Linked DNA regions of Schizosaccharomyces pombe. The protein of the gene in region 2 binds, or shares a complex with, the protein of the main gene of each other region. Each region holds a gene or a part of one and is shown on either strand. Other genes may lie near its edges.

Region 1 (3,497 bases), on a different chromosome or scaffold from region 2:
GGCTGATATTTGATATCCACACCTTCAATCTCTTCCAAGCCCATAAACCCATCGAAGTCGTCTAGGTGGTCAGGAAGCTTGACTTCCTTCCATTTAAGCTCGTCCAATGCAGCTTTCTTTGGCATCGTGATCAAAGCGTTGAAAAGTGTAGTAGTTTGCTCCACATAGAAAATGTAGGTAGACAAAAATTTACACTAAGAATTGGAACGAGGGAATAAAAATAATTGCATCGTATAAGCTAATAGAAAACAAATAATTAAATGTTACGAAGACATTAAACGACGATTGGTTTTAGCAATTCAATGCTTTGCCATGTTTTGCATAATTTCTAAATAGTACAACCATTTTGTATTAAAAATATTGCTTGAGAATTTTAGAATCGAATGATCTGAGCTACAGTGCTTACAAGAGTAGTAAACACAAACGATGTTACTACTATAGTTCTAATTCGGCTAGCAATTGGTACAGGTGAAAGGAACATTCTTATTACTTTGAAAATTTGACATCTCAGTCCTTCTCTTAAATAATAATAATAAAAATAGGAATTATAGATATGACAGAATAATATAAGGGTCTTTATGTTCACGCAGCTGTTTAGAATTATGTCGTATAAGATGTAGGTTGGGAAGCTAATACATAATTAATGCACATCCATAAAGTTTTTGAAGAAAAAAGGTAGATTGATCGGTCATAATTTAGCATTTCATTTTCAGACTATCATTGAAATGGAAGAAGTTTTTATTTCATTTTGGATTCTTCGAAAAGTACTCTTTTGTGAATTCTATGGGTTCATTCATTAGCTTCTTAAATGAGGCTTTAGAAAATCCATAATAACTTACTTGGGATCATATTTTATAAAAGCAAGCTTAGGAGCAGCTTTTGGACGTGAACGAACGTAGAAAAATCCAGTGCCAGCGGTGGACAATAATTTTACAAGCAAACTGAAAAATAAATGTTAAAAATGCGCATTAAATTAAGCATGTATGTCTTACCGAGCTTTATTCTTTTTAGCCATTCTGGATATACGTACAGTGCAAGCGGTAAGTTAAAGGTTTTGTAGTTACACCAGGGTTTGTGGGCGAGCTCTTTTAACTTGATGGATAACTTGCAGTCAGAAATGTAAAATTGAAAGTTTGCAATTCAAAGATATTGTTTTGAGTAATGAGAAAGCCTTTTTGCAATCCAATTTTTATTAAATTTGGTTGTGTACAATCGAGGCTTTTCAATAGGTTATTTTTTTGTTTTAGGTAGACTATAGAACTATTAGTAAAGATAAAAGGCTCATCAATGAATTACTTGTTTTGAAAAAAAGCATTTAGATTTGAAATTCTAATTGAGAAACATGCATGACGGCACTTAAGAACGAAAGACGAACAGTAAGAATAAAAAAATTAGAAAGAATTTTTGAATAAAAATAAAATAAAATAAAAAATAAAAAAATGTTAATAAGGAAAGTATAACAAATTGAGTCTGCTGCGTCTCTTCTCCTGATGTCTGCCAATTTAACAGAGAGGAATAATTAACAAACTATAAGTAATCTTATAAATAGAAGTTGCTGTTCTATTAACATTCGAAGAAAAAATATGAAGTGATGAACAACTCTTGAAAAATTCTTTTTTTTTATTACAATTATTATTGTTTTTTAATTATTGGCTGTAGATGGGTATTTAATTAAAGTCCAATCGCGTCTTTGCCAATTTATAATCTTATTTGTATTTCTACATTTTTTTTGGAAAGAATGATATTCAAATGAAAGAACCAATTTTCTTTCAGGAAAAATTCTTTTAGTTAAAATGACATGTACTAGATGAATTAGGACGTTAAGAATGAACTAATTGCAATAGCATAGTTTGCTAGCGTGAAAAAAAAACACAGATGGAAATTAGCGAGCCTAGTAAAGAAACATTTATGACGAGGTGGTTCTAAAAAGCCTTTCGTGTATATATATATATATATTCGGCTCTAAACAAACGCAAGCTTTAAGTATCATTGTAACTGTAAATTATTGGCAATACTGAAAGTATAAGACGATCCTCAAGTTGTAAGCAAACCTAATTCATTTGCTGTACCAAGACTAGGATGGATGAGTTACAAGTCACTTTAAGTGTTTATGGGTCCAAAGAGAATATAAAATGTGTTTTCCCAATTTTACAAGGGTTAGCCAAATAAAGAATGCAAATGAACAAATCGCATGAATTGCGGAAGCTAGTGACATTGTATGACGATCTGCCCGAAATCCCAAGTCCGTATCTCATCCGCGAAATTGAGACATATCACGATGCATACGGAGAAAATCTATACAACGCAAGTATAGCCGCACCCAAAGACGGATATAGAATAGACTGGAGAAGGCTACATCCCTCGGATATGGAGACTGAATGAAAGAATTGAGAGAGTATTTAAAGCTCATTAAGTGCAATGTTTACGATTGTTATTACGGTTCTACATGGTCAATAGTATGGGAAATTTTAAAATAAACATTTTTCCTGGTTGTGAAAATGATGGAGAGAAGCAACGAAAATATCTTTAACTGATGCTTTATATATGTAGAATAAAAATTGAGTTGGAAATTACAGCAGGGATAGTAAACAAGTCAAGGATATGTTACAGTTGTCATTAGAATAACAAAAGGTTTAATAACTATCTTTTAAAGAGGATTTGACATTGTACTAAGGGCTGAGACAACTCGCATTAAATAAGCAAAGGCTGAATTAAGTAAAAGAATATTCGCACTTAATAGAGGAATACTATGTTAAATATAGGATGGATTTGCTGTGTATATATAAAATTATTATCCTCTTATATATACATATAATTATCGTTAATTATTATTTATATTTTATTTTATTTTCTTATCTTTTCCTTGGTTTTTATGTATTTACTAGTAAATCTATAATAATCATTAACTTTAATAACTTTCTTCAACTGATCAATTTCCCAACCAAAATGCTTTGTTATTTGTTCTTTAAGCTTGCTATGTTCTTTAGCTGCGTGTCTATCATCTCTTCTTGTTTGGCTTGGCACGTGCCATTTTACCATTTCTTGCTTCCTCCTACCTTTTAGGCCTTAATATTAACCCCCTGGGTCATCTTTTGGCATATAGGGTAAAGGGGCCAAACTCACTATCCAAGATAAGTCTAAGTATGCAACTGTTAACATTTCAGTTAAGCACGTTGTCTCCTATAAGCAAGTATAACGTAGTTTAAAAAGAACGTTAAGTTAATTAGTCTGCACATAATACAAACATGGGATAGTGAGACAATATCGTCTGTTAGAGTAAATTTTCCTTTCTTGAAAGATTTTCCATTTTTGTGCATGAAAAGGCGTAATTTAAGATCATGCGATGGGTAGTACAGGTCAAATTGATAAACCGACTTTTACCAGTTTGTGCTATCAGATCTCACACTGTGCTCTCCTTCCGTCGCATTATTTTGTTATTTTTTGAGCTGAGTATTCCCGTAATCCAAGGACAAGCGTCAGGGTGTGTACGATAGTTG
Region 2 (3,827 bases):
AACTTAATTTATTCTTAAATATTTATTTCGCTTGCGGAGTACGCATTGGTTTCAGTCAAAAAATACCTACATCGAAATACTTTCCATAACTAGTTTGTCACCAAAGACTGAAAAGAAAGTATATTTATTAGATCATTTTTAATATAAAGGCTGCAAACTACTTAATAAAACACGTAAATTGAAGTACGAAGTCTCATGCAGCGTTAGCAAGAAGCTCTACTCTATAAGCGAGAATAGCTTAACAAATCCGAATGTGTTAAGAACAGACAAAAAGCAAAGCAATAAAAGCATTTTCAAAATCTATTTGACATAATAAAAATAAACACGATTACGGAAGTCCCTTAAGTGTTATAATGGTCTATAAAAAACTTGTATTGTAAATTTCTACAATAGGAAGCTTGGGTACCACAATGGATAGGACTATTAAACCGAAAGGCATATCAAAAATTTTATAACCAGATACATACGTATAACGTATCAACATTAAAACTTTAATAGGAAAATATCACGTAGGATGAATTATCCAAACTCATAAATCCTGATCAATAATTTTTTAGTTAGCTCACACCGACTGCTTATGTATAAGACTCAACAAGAGTGTCTCTGTTGCTTATAATAGCAGAAGGTTGAGCATCTTGAAGTTTAAATATAGATTCACAGACAGCCAATTCAGTAGCCGTAGTATCAAGTCCAGCAAACGCACACCAGTCGTTCACAACTAGACCAGCACCGATAACATCGGAACCACGGTTGATGGTACCGGCAACAAGAGGAACTTGAAGAAGTGATGACAATTCATCCTGTTCCTGAATGCTAGTACGAGGGTGAACCAAAGCACCTTGATTGCTCAATGCACAATACGAACCGGTTAAAACATTGCCTGCAACGGTTTGACGGAAAACTTCAACATCTAAGACATCAGCAATAATTTCCTCGGTTTCACGCTCAATATCAGGATGAACAAGGGCCACATAGTCGTTGCAAGCCACAATGTTTCCTAGAGCTGAAAGTCGTTCATCAACACGTTGGATTTTGACAGGATCTGGAAGAGAATTGCGGAGGTGCTGTAGTTCATTATCGGTGGTAGAAGAGGGAACTAACAGACCTTTTCTATTACCACATGTCAAACGACCAATGATTCTGGTTCCTCCAATTGTGGTATGAACAACGGGTACAACATCACCTAACTCTGCCTCGAACACGCTGTTATAAAAGTTAGTGAAAAGTTGATAAATGTAAAAAATGCCAAAAAAAATAATTTGTCGAGCTGCATCGAGTCAAGGAATAATAAAGGTAATGAACAGCAAACCGCCAGAGTTTAAGTAGTGGTTTGCATTTATGTAGCAAAGTCTCTTTTACTCAATTAAAGAGTAGTTAGGCTACATCATTCACATATGTGCTATTTATTTTTCTCATAATACGTTCGACTGGTTAAGGATTTTAAGAACCTTTAAAAAAATTTTGAATCGTTTACATTTAGAACATTAAATTTTGGCATCAAATAAACGTTAAGCTTACCTGTAGAAGTTTTCAGAGCCTCCAAGCGCTACAAGTGCGTATGAGTTTGTGAGATTAGAAAAGACACCAATCCTATAATTTGTTAATATCATGCGTCTATTAAGCAAAAAAGCTGAGTAAACTTACTCATTAGAATTCTCGAATTGAGCACGAAGTGCCATTTTGGTAAAGAAAAAGTTTTATCCCAGCCAAATTTCACATCTTAAAAATAATAATCCATTGAACATCGTTAATATGATATTAGCATTGTGAAGCAGACACGTAATACCAATTAACATAATTTTTTGTGATATATCGGTAATACTGCATTACACTAATGATTTACTAGGTTGCGTATCACTATATGTTACATGTTGGAATATTAGTAAAGATCCGTTTATTGACAGTAAACAGATAAGTAGTCGTCTATACTCATAGACACCATGTGATTACAACTACTAGAAAGATGATAATTATAGATGTTACTGTAAATCGCTCCTCTCCATTTTTTAACCATATCGGTGACTTACACTAATAGACTTCTTATAACAATAAATATAACATTGTAGTTAATATACTGCATTCCACTAAATGTGGATCGCAAAAAATTCATCGTAATTCAATGTATCGTTAAATAGATAGCAACGTAGTGAATAATAGTGAACAATAACGAGCTTGCGATATGAATTGTATTTTATCGGTTGAACTAAAAGAGTTTCAATATTTAGTGTTAAACGGACTCCACGAACTTCTAGTTTACCATAATGTCATTCTTTCGAGTTCGTTTAGAAAGGTCAGCCATCGGGCTCTCGAGGTACGTGTTTTGGAAACGAGAAAAACATGCTTGTAATTGCTAACCAATATTTTAGTAAGGTGCGCAGCGTTTTGCATTCTTTGAGGTTAACAAAAAGACACTCCGTAGTCTATTGCGATGTAAATCCAATCAATGCGGGAAGAATTTTTAAAGTAAAAGAACTCGTTAGTGTCAGTACTGTGAAACAAAAGTTAGCCGCTGGGCAAGAAAAGAAGTCTCTTGCTTCTAGTAGCGGATTTACAGTGATACATCGATACAATAACGGTTTAAAAGAATTGAATAACATGTTTGAAAGTTAAATTTTCATTCTAGTTATATTTATCGTAATAGTTCATCTAACCAACTTTGGTCTTTGTTTGGCTTTTCAGACATATAGTTCCTAGAGTCGTTTCTTGAAATATGCATGCTGGAATGATTAGAAGAAATGTAATTTTCCCCTTTATCTTCTGTAATGGAAGGCGGAGCAGACTGATCCATACTTTCAAGAAAAGAATCAATATCTTCTTCCGCTTCAGCATGGCTAATGTTTACCTTTGGCTTTTGTACATTATAACGCTTACGGAATTCTTGAATTGACTTTTCATGCTCAACGCTCTCCAACATGTCGGCTACTTCTTCACGTTGGATAGTCCGAACTTTGGACTTGGGTTTTTGGTTGCTAATTCCCAAACCAGTAAGGGGCCGTGCTTGTAGTTTTGAATACTCGAAATCTTCTTCTTCATCTTGAATTGTATCTCCATTCCCCACGGTCTTCAAACTTTCCAAACTTGGATATTCTTCCTCATTGTTATCTTCATCAAAGTATTCCCCTGCATTTTTAAATCTCCATTCGTTATTTCCCAAATTTTTTTTACGAGGTTTTACAGGTGCATCATGAATGTCATGCTTTTTTTTATACGCTAATGTCGCTTTTCTCTTCCATTTATCTTGTACTACCATATGGGACGTCGTGTCTGAAGAGGCAAGGAGGAACCTGTACCCTATAAGACAATAAGTTTTTTTACAATGTTGGTCAATTTTTTTCTTTTCTCGTAGTGGTTTATATTTTTAACGACTCGAGTATAATAAAATTTGAAGCAATAATAAAGAAGAATCCTTTTTTTTTTTTTTTAAGCCAAACTTGCTTAGCGCTTTTTAATAAAAATTCGCACTCGACTGAACACTAAAAAAAAACTTTTCAATGATTGTACATTACTTGAATGTATAATAGACAGGTTTCTGGGGAAGCTTCTTCAAGATAGTTTATCTACCAGAGTTCAGCAGACCTGGGTGATCGAAGGAACCTAGATCGTTTTTCGTAACCAAAAGTTTAGAATTTTTTTTATACAATTACTTCTCGTTAAATAATTCTTCCTAAAAAACCTACTATTCGATGGTAACATCAGTTGTTTCGGTTTTTTCATTTGCAGTATAAATTGTGATGTTAAAGGCTTACTTACAAATCATACTAGTTAAAATAGGAATTTTAAAAGTGCAAGTTTGTTAAAATATAATTATAAACTCAATTCGTAAGTTC
Region 3 (3,699 bases), on a different chromosome or scaffold from region 2:
CTTAGTCATGCAAATTCTGTTCGAATTCAGCGATCGAAGGGCGATGTTATTTTGAATTTACATTTGCCTAAAGTGAACCCGGAGCGGTTTCTTCCTACTAAATCATTAAAATTAGAGGAAATGAAACCATTAGAGGAGAAGGTTCCTATATACCGCTCATCTTCCAAACAACCCCTTCGAATTCATCCTACTCATCCACTGCGTGTAACTGTTTGTCTTCCAGGTAGCAAGACAATTCAAGTGGCTCGTCGCTCTTTTCGTAATTCAATGAACGCTAATCGTTATGATCCTCAACGCCGAGAACGAATTGATTCCGGTTTATGGAGGGCGAAAAACTAGCTTGGTTTTTTCTTATTGTTATCGTTTATGTATACTTTACATGAGATTATAGTCTCTTTTGTGTTTTCGATGCATTTAATATTATTTACACGCTTACAACATAAACGTGTATTGAAAAAGGATGAAAGCTAAGAGATATATTCAGCTTTTTTGTTATTTTTTCACTCTAAATTCTTTTGCATAATATATGATATTTATACTCAACCGTACATAGTCAACAAATAAAATTAAGTAAAAAAATTCTTTGTTATACGCGTATTTTTAAAAAGGGTGTAGTTCATTAATCGTAATACTGAAAAAATTTAAGTAGTGCGAGCAGATTCAATTCACTAACTGCAATACTATTACATGAAACAACCTTATATTTAATGTTAAGTCCATTTTTTTTCTTAAAATAAAGATTTGCAGCATCACTAAATCAGTGAAGAAATGCTTAATGCCCTTCATTCGTTAAATTCTCGACGAATATTTCTAAAACAGTGAGAACATAAATGATGTGCCAATTTAAAAGACCCGCAAATAGGACAACGATTAACTGTTTTGTCTTTTAATGCTTTTCCGGACAGTAAGCGACTTCGTTTCTTAGTATAAGAAGTTTTTTTCTTTGGAACAGCAAGCAAAATGGAATTCCATATATTAGCTATTGAAGGGGGGGAAATAAATATCCTCAAAGAAATATGAGGAAGGGCGCTAGCTTGAAAAACTGATAACATTTTTTGGCTAATTGCCAAAGAATTTCCTCTTAAAAGAGCCATTTTCGACCCAAGCGCGAACAGTAGAATATTGTTGGGTACAGTAATGCTGAACAATATTTTAAAAGTTTTCTCAAGGTAAGGCGAACTTAGTTACTGCAGAACTTGATCTTAATTATATAGTTATAAAACGATGCATATAGCCGTTTTCTAAAACCAGTAGACCCAATCACAGATAGATTTACGATCTCCGAGAAAAGAGTTTGAAATAATTGGAAGTCGTCAAAAGGAAACTTAAAGACCAGTTACTTTGGTTTCGAGACAATGCTTAAGAAGTAGGCTGCTGCCTAAATCTATAGTCTGCTGTTGAGTAGTAATAACCCATGTATAACGAGACTCCTCAAATTCACTATTGCTTTGGCTTGACATTTAAATGCTAAGTGCGCTCTCTCTTTATTAAGTCTCGCAGTTTAATGTTGACAATTTTCTTAAGCTCATGAACTACGCTACAATCATAGTCCATTTAATTATTTGAAGTTTTCTACGTATTTGTACTAATTTTAGTAGATCAAAAATTTTGTGAAATATTCCAGCAGGCGTTTCACTTTGAGATTCCACATAATTGAAATTGAAACATCGCTTTAAAAGATTCAAACCTATTTTGACTGATTCAAGATCAATCTCAGAATCATGTACTTACATTTTGAATACTTTGATAAGTTAGTCTTCCTTTTAGTTTTTTTATAATGCATTGCGAATATTAAAAAGTTGAGACTTTTAGAAAGAAGCATTGTCTCATTTATTATAAAAATTATCCAAGTGTCACTGAGATCATTCTTGGCAGTAAGAAAAAAACAAAAAAAAAGGAACAGATAAGTAAAGTATGCACTAGAAAAAGGAATTAAAGTAAAGCAAAAAAGTAGTTAAAATGTACTCTGTTTGAATCTGCCCAACCTGCGGATATGGATTTTAGTGGAGGAGGCAAAAAAATAAACTCAGGTACATATATTCTAACGAACTGCAAAAGCATATTAACGATAAATAAACAATGTGAGAAGAAACAGTTTTTAAGCAAACGTTGGAGGATATTCCGAAACTTCTAACAGCAGATGTTTACTCAAAAACTTTTTTGACAAGTTAGCCTATTTACCAGAATGATGTATGGATTTTATCAAAGGGATAAGGGATGAAACTGGAACGGCTTGCTTAAGAAACGGATGCCTTAAAAGCTCACCGGAGCTAGGGCGTTGCTTAGGATTAACAGTTAAAGATTTAGAAAGAAAATCATGGAAAACAGAACTTAACAATTCTGGCCGACTAATCTTTGGAGTACCAATAGTAGCAATTAAATATAGAGCACGTAAAGGATTTTCGTTTAAATACGGGGGCTCTCCCTCTACCATCTCTATAGCCATAATACCAAGACTCCAGACATCAACTTTGAAACCATATTCCTTTCTAGTAACGACTTCTGGAGCCATCCAATATGGAGTACCAACCATCGTCGTTCGTTTCGTCATGTTACTGTCGATCTGAGCACAAAACCCAAAATCGGTAAGTTTAATATCTCCTTGAAGTGAGAGAAGGATATTGTCTGATTTTATGTCACGGTGAACAATGCCATTTTCATGGAGATGCTGTAAGCCTTCCAACGTTTCCTTACATATTGCAGCTATCTGACCTTCTGAAAGAGTGTTATTGGTAACCACTTCAGTAAGACTGCCACCGCGCATGTATTCCATTACCATCCACAACTCTGATTTATAGAAGAAAGTGTCAATAAAATTGACAATGTTTTTGTGATGATGTGACTTCATCACGAGTATTTCATTGACAATAAATTCCTTTTTTGGCTGTTGATTAATGTTCATTTTCTTGATGGCAACAGAAAGATTAGTGCCGACTTGGCGAGCAGAATACACATCACCAGAAGCACCTTGACCAATTTTAACAAAATTTCGATATAAAAGTGTTGGATTTTTGGGATTGCATATAGACTGTAACTTTGCCAATACAGCAGAATCATTGGATTGTTGTCGAGGTGCACGCTTTTGAAGTCGAGGGGCACTTGGTGCTTCCACTTTTTGAGGAGTCGCAACAGCTTTCGGTTTGGTGCTAGTCTCGGCTCTCCGTTGATATGGTGTCGAGTTATTCGGACGGATATGTTTCGTTTCAGATGTACTTAAGGTTTGAGGCGTTAACAAAACAGGGGAATGACTTCGGATTATATTATCGGTTGACTTGCTGGAAACTAATGGAGAAGGTTGTCGAGAAGCATTAGAGGTAGTAGTTTTAACTGTTTGTGATGATAATAAAGGAGACGATGAAGAACTTGCAGGAGGCGTGGGAGCAGGTCGAGAAGGATACAAACGAGAAGATGAGCTTGTAGCAGAGGTGGGTTGAAGATGAGAACTACTAGACAACGCTGAAACGGAGAGTAAAGGCTTCTCAGTACTTTCACGGGGAAAGGGTGGCTTTGCTCCCTCCTCAAGATATTTCTTGGATTGGGAATAAAAAGCCATAGCGTCCAAAACGGCCTGTGGATGTTGTACTTGTTCCGACTTTGTAATGCCACTGACTTTTAGTAGTGCCTGCCATTCAGTAGGCATTCCAGTAAATTCCCCAGTATCATAATTAAAACCAACGTGAGTGACATGCTTCGGATCAA

Evidence for each region.
Region 1: mrpl33 (region 2) and mrpl39 share a complex: the UniProt entries of both Schizosaccharomyces pombe proteins name them as parts of the mitochondrial large ribosomal subunit.
Region 3: mrpl33 (region 2) and mrpl32 share a complex: the UniProt entries of both Schizosaccharomyces pombe proteins name them as parts of the mitochondrial large ribosomal subunit.

What each region holds. Positions count from the first base shown.
Region 1 is NC_003423.3:2,700,235-2,703,731, forward strand, and holds mrpl39 (mitochondrial ribosomal protein subunit bL33m), read right to left. Parts: upstream 1,518-3,497; 5' UTR 1,016-1,517; coding exon 993-1,015; exon of another isoform or gene 942-992; coding exon 840-941; exon of another isoform or gene 809-839; intron 782-808; coding exon 739-781; 3' UTR 501-738; downstream 1-500. Other genes in the region: ATP-dependent RNA helicase Mak5, read right to left, coding at 1-125. UniProt on the Schizosaccharomyces pombe protein: Component of the mitochondrial ribosome (mitoribosome), a dedicated translation machinery responsible for the synthesis of mitochondrial genome-encoded proteins, including at least some of the essential transmembrane subunits of the mitochondrial respiratory chain.
Region 2 is NC_003421.2:2,221,006-2,224,832, reverse strand, and holds mrpl33 (mitochondrial 54S ribosomal protein uL30m), read left to right. Parts: upstream 1-2,250; 5' UTR 2,251-2,261; coding exon 2,262-2,311; intron 2,312-2,366; coding exon 2,367-2,610; 3' UTR 2,611-2,629; downstream 2,630-3,827. Other genes in the region: tif6 (translation initiation factor-like ribosome biogenesis protein), read right to left, coding at 576-1,203, 1,519-1,590, 1,645-1,679; SPOM_SPCC1919.07 (uncharacterized protein), read right to left, coding at 2,630-3,250. UniProt on the Schizosaccharomyces pombe protein: Component of the mitochondrial ribosome (mitoribosome), a dedicated translation machinery responsible for the synthesis of mitochondrial genome-encoded proteins, including at least some of the essential transmembrane subunits of the mitochondrial respiratory chain.
Region 3 is NC_003423.3:3,905,533-3,909,231, reverse strand, and holds mrpl32 (mitochondrial 54S ribosomal protein bL32m), read right to left. Parts: upstream 1,381-3,699; 5' UTR 1,095-1,380; coding exon 783-1,094; 3' UTR 501-782; downstream 1-500. Other genes in the region: SPOM_SPBC1604.12 (uncharacterized protein), read left to right, coding at 1-339; PAK-like kinase Shk1, read right to left, coding at 2,174-3,699. UniProt on the Schizosaccharomyces pombe protein: Component of the mitochondrial ribosome (mitoribosome), a dedicated translation machinery responsible for the synthesis of mitochondrial genome-encoded proteins, including at least some of the essential transmembrane subunits of the mitochondrial respiratory chain.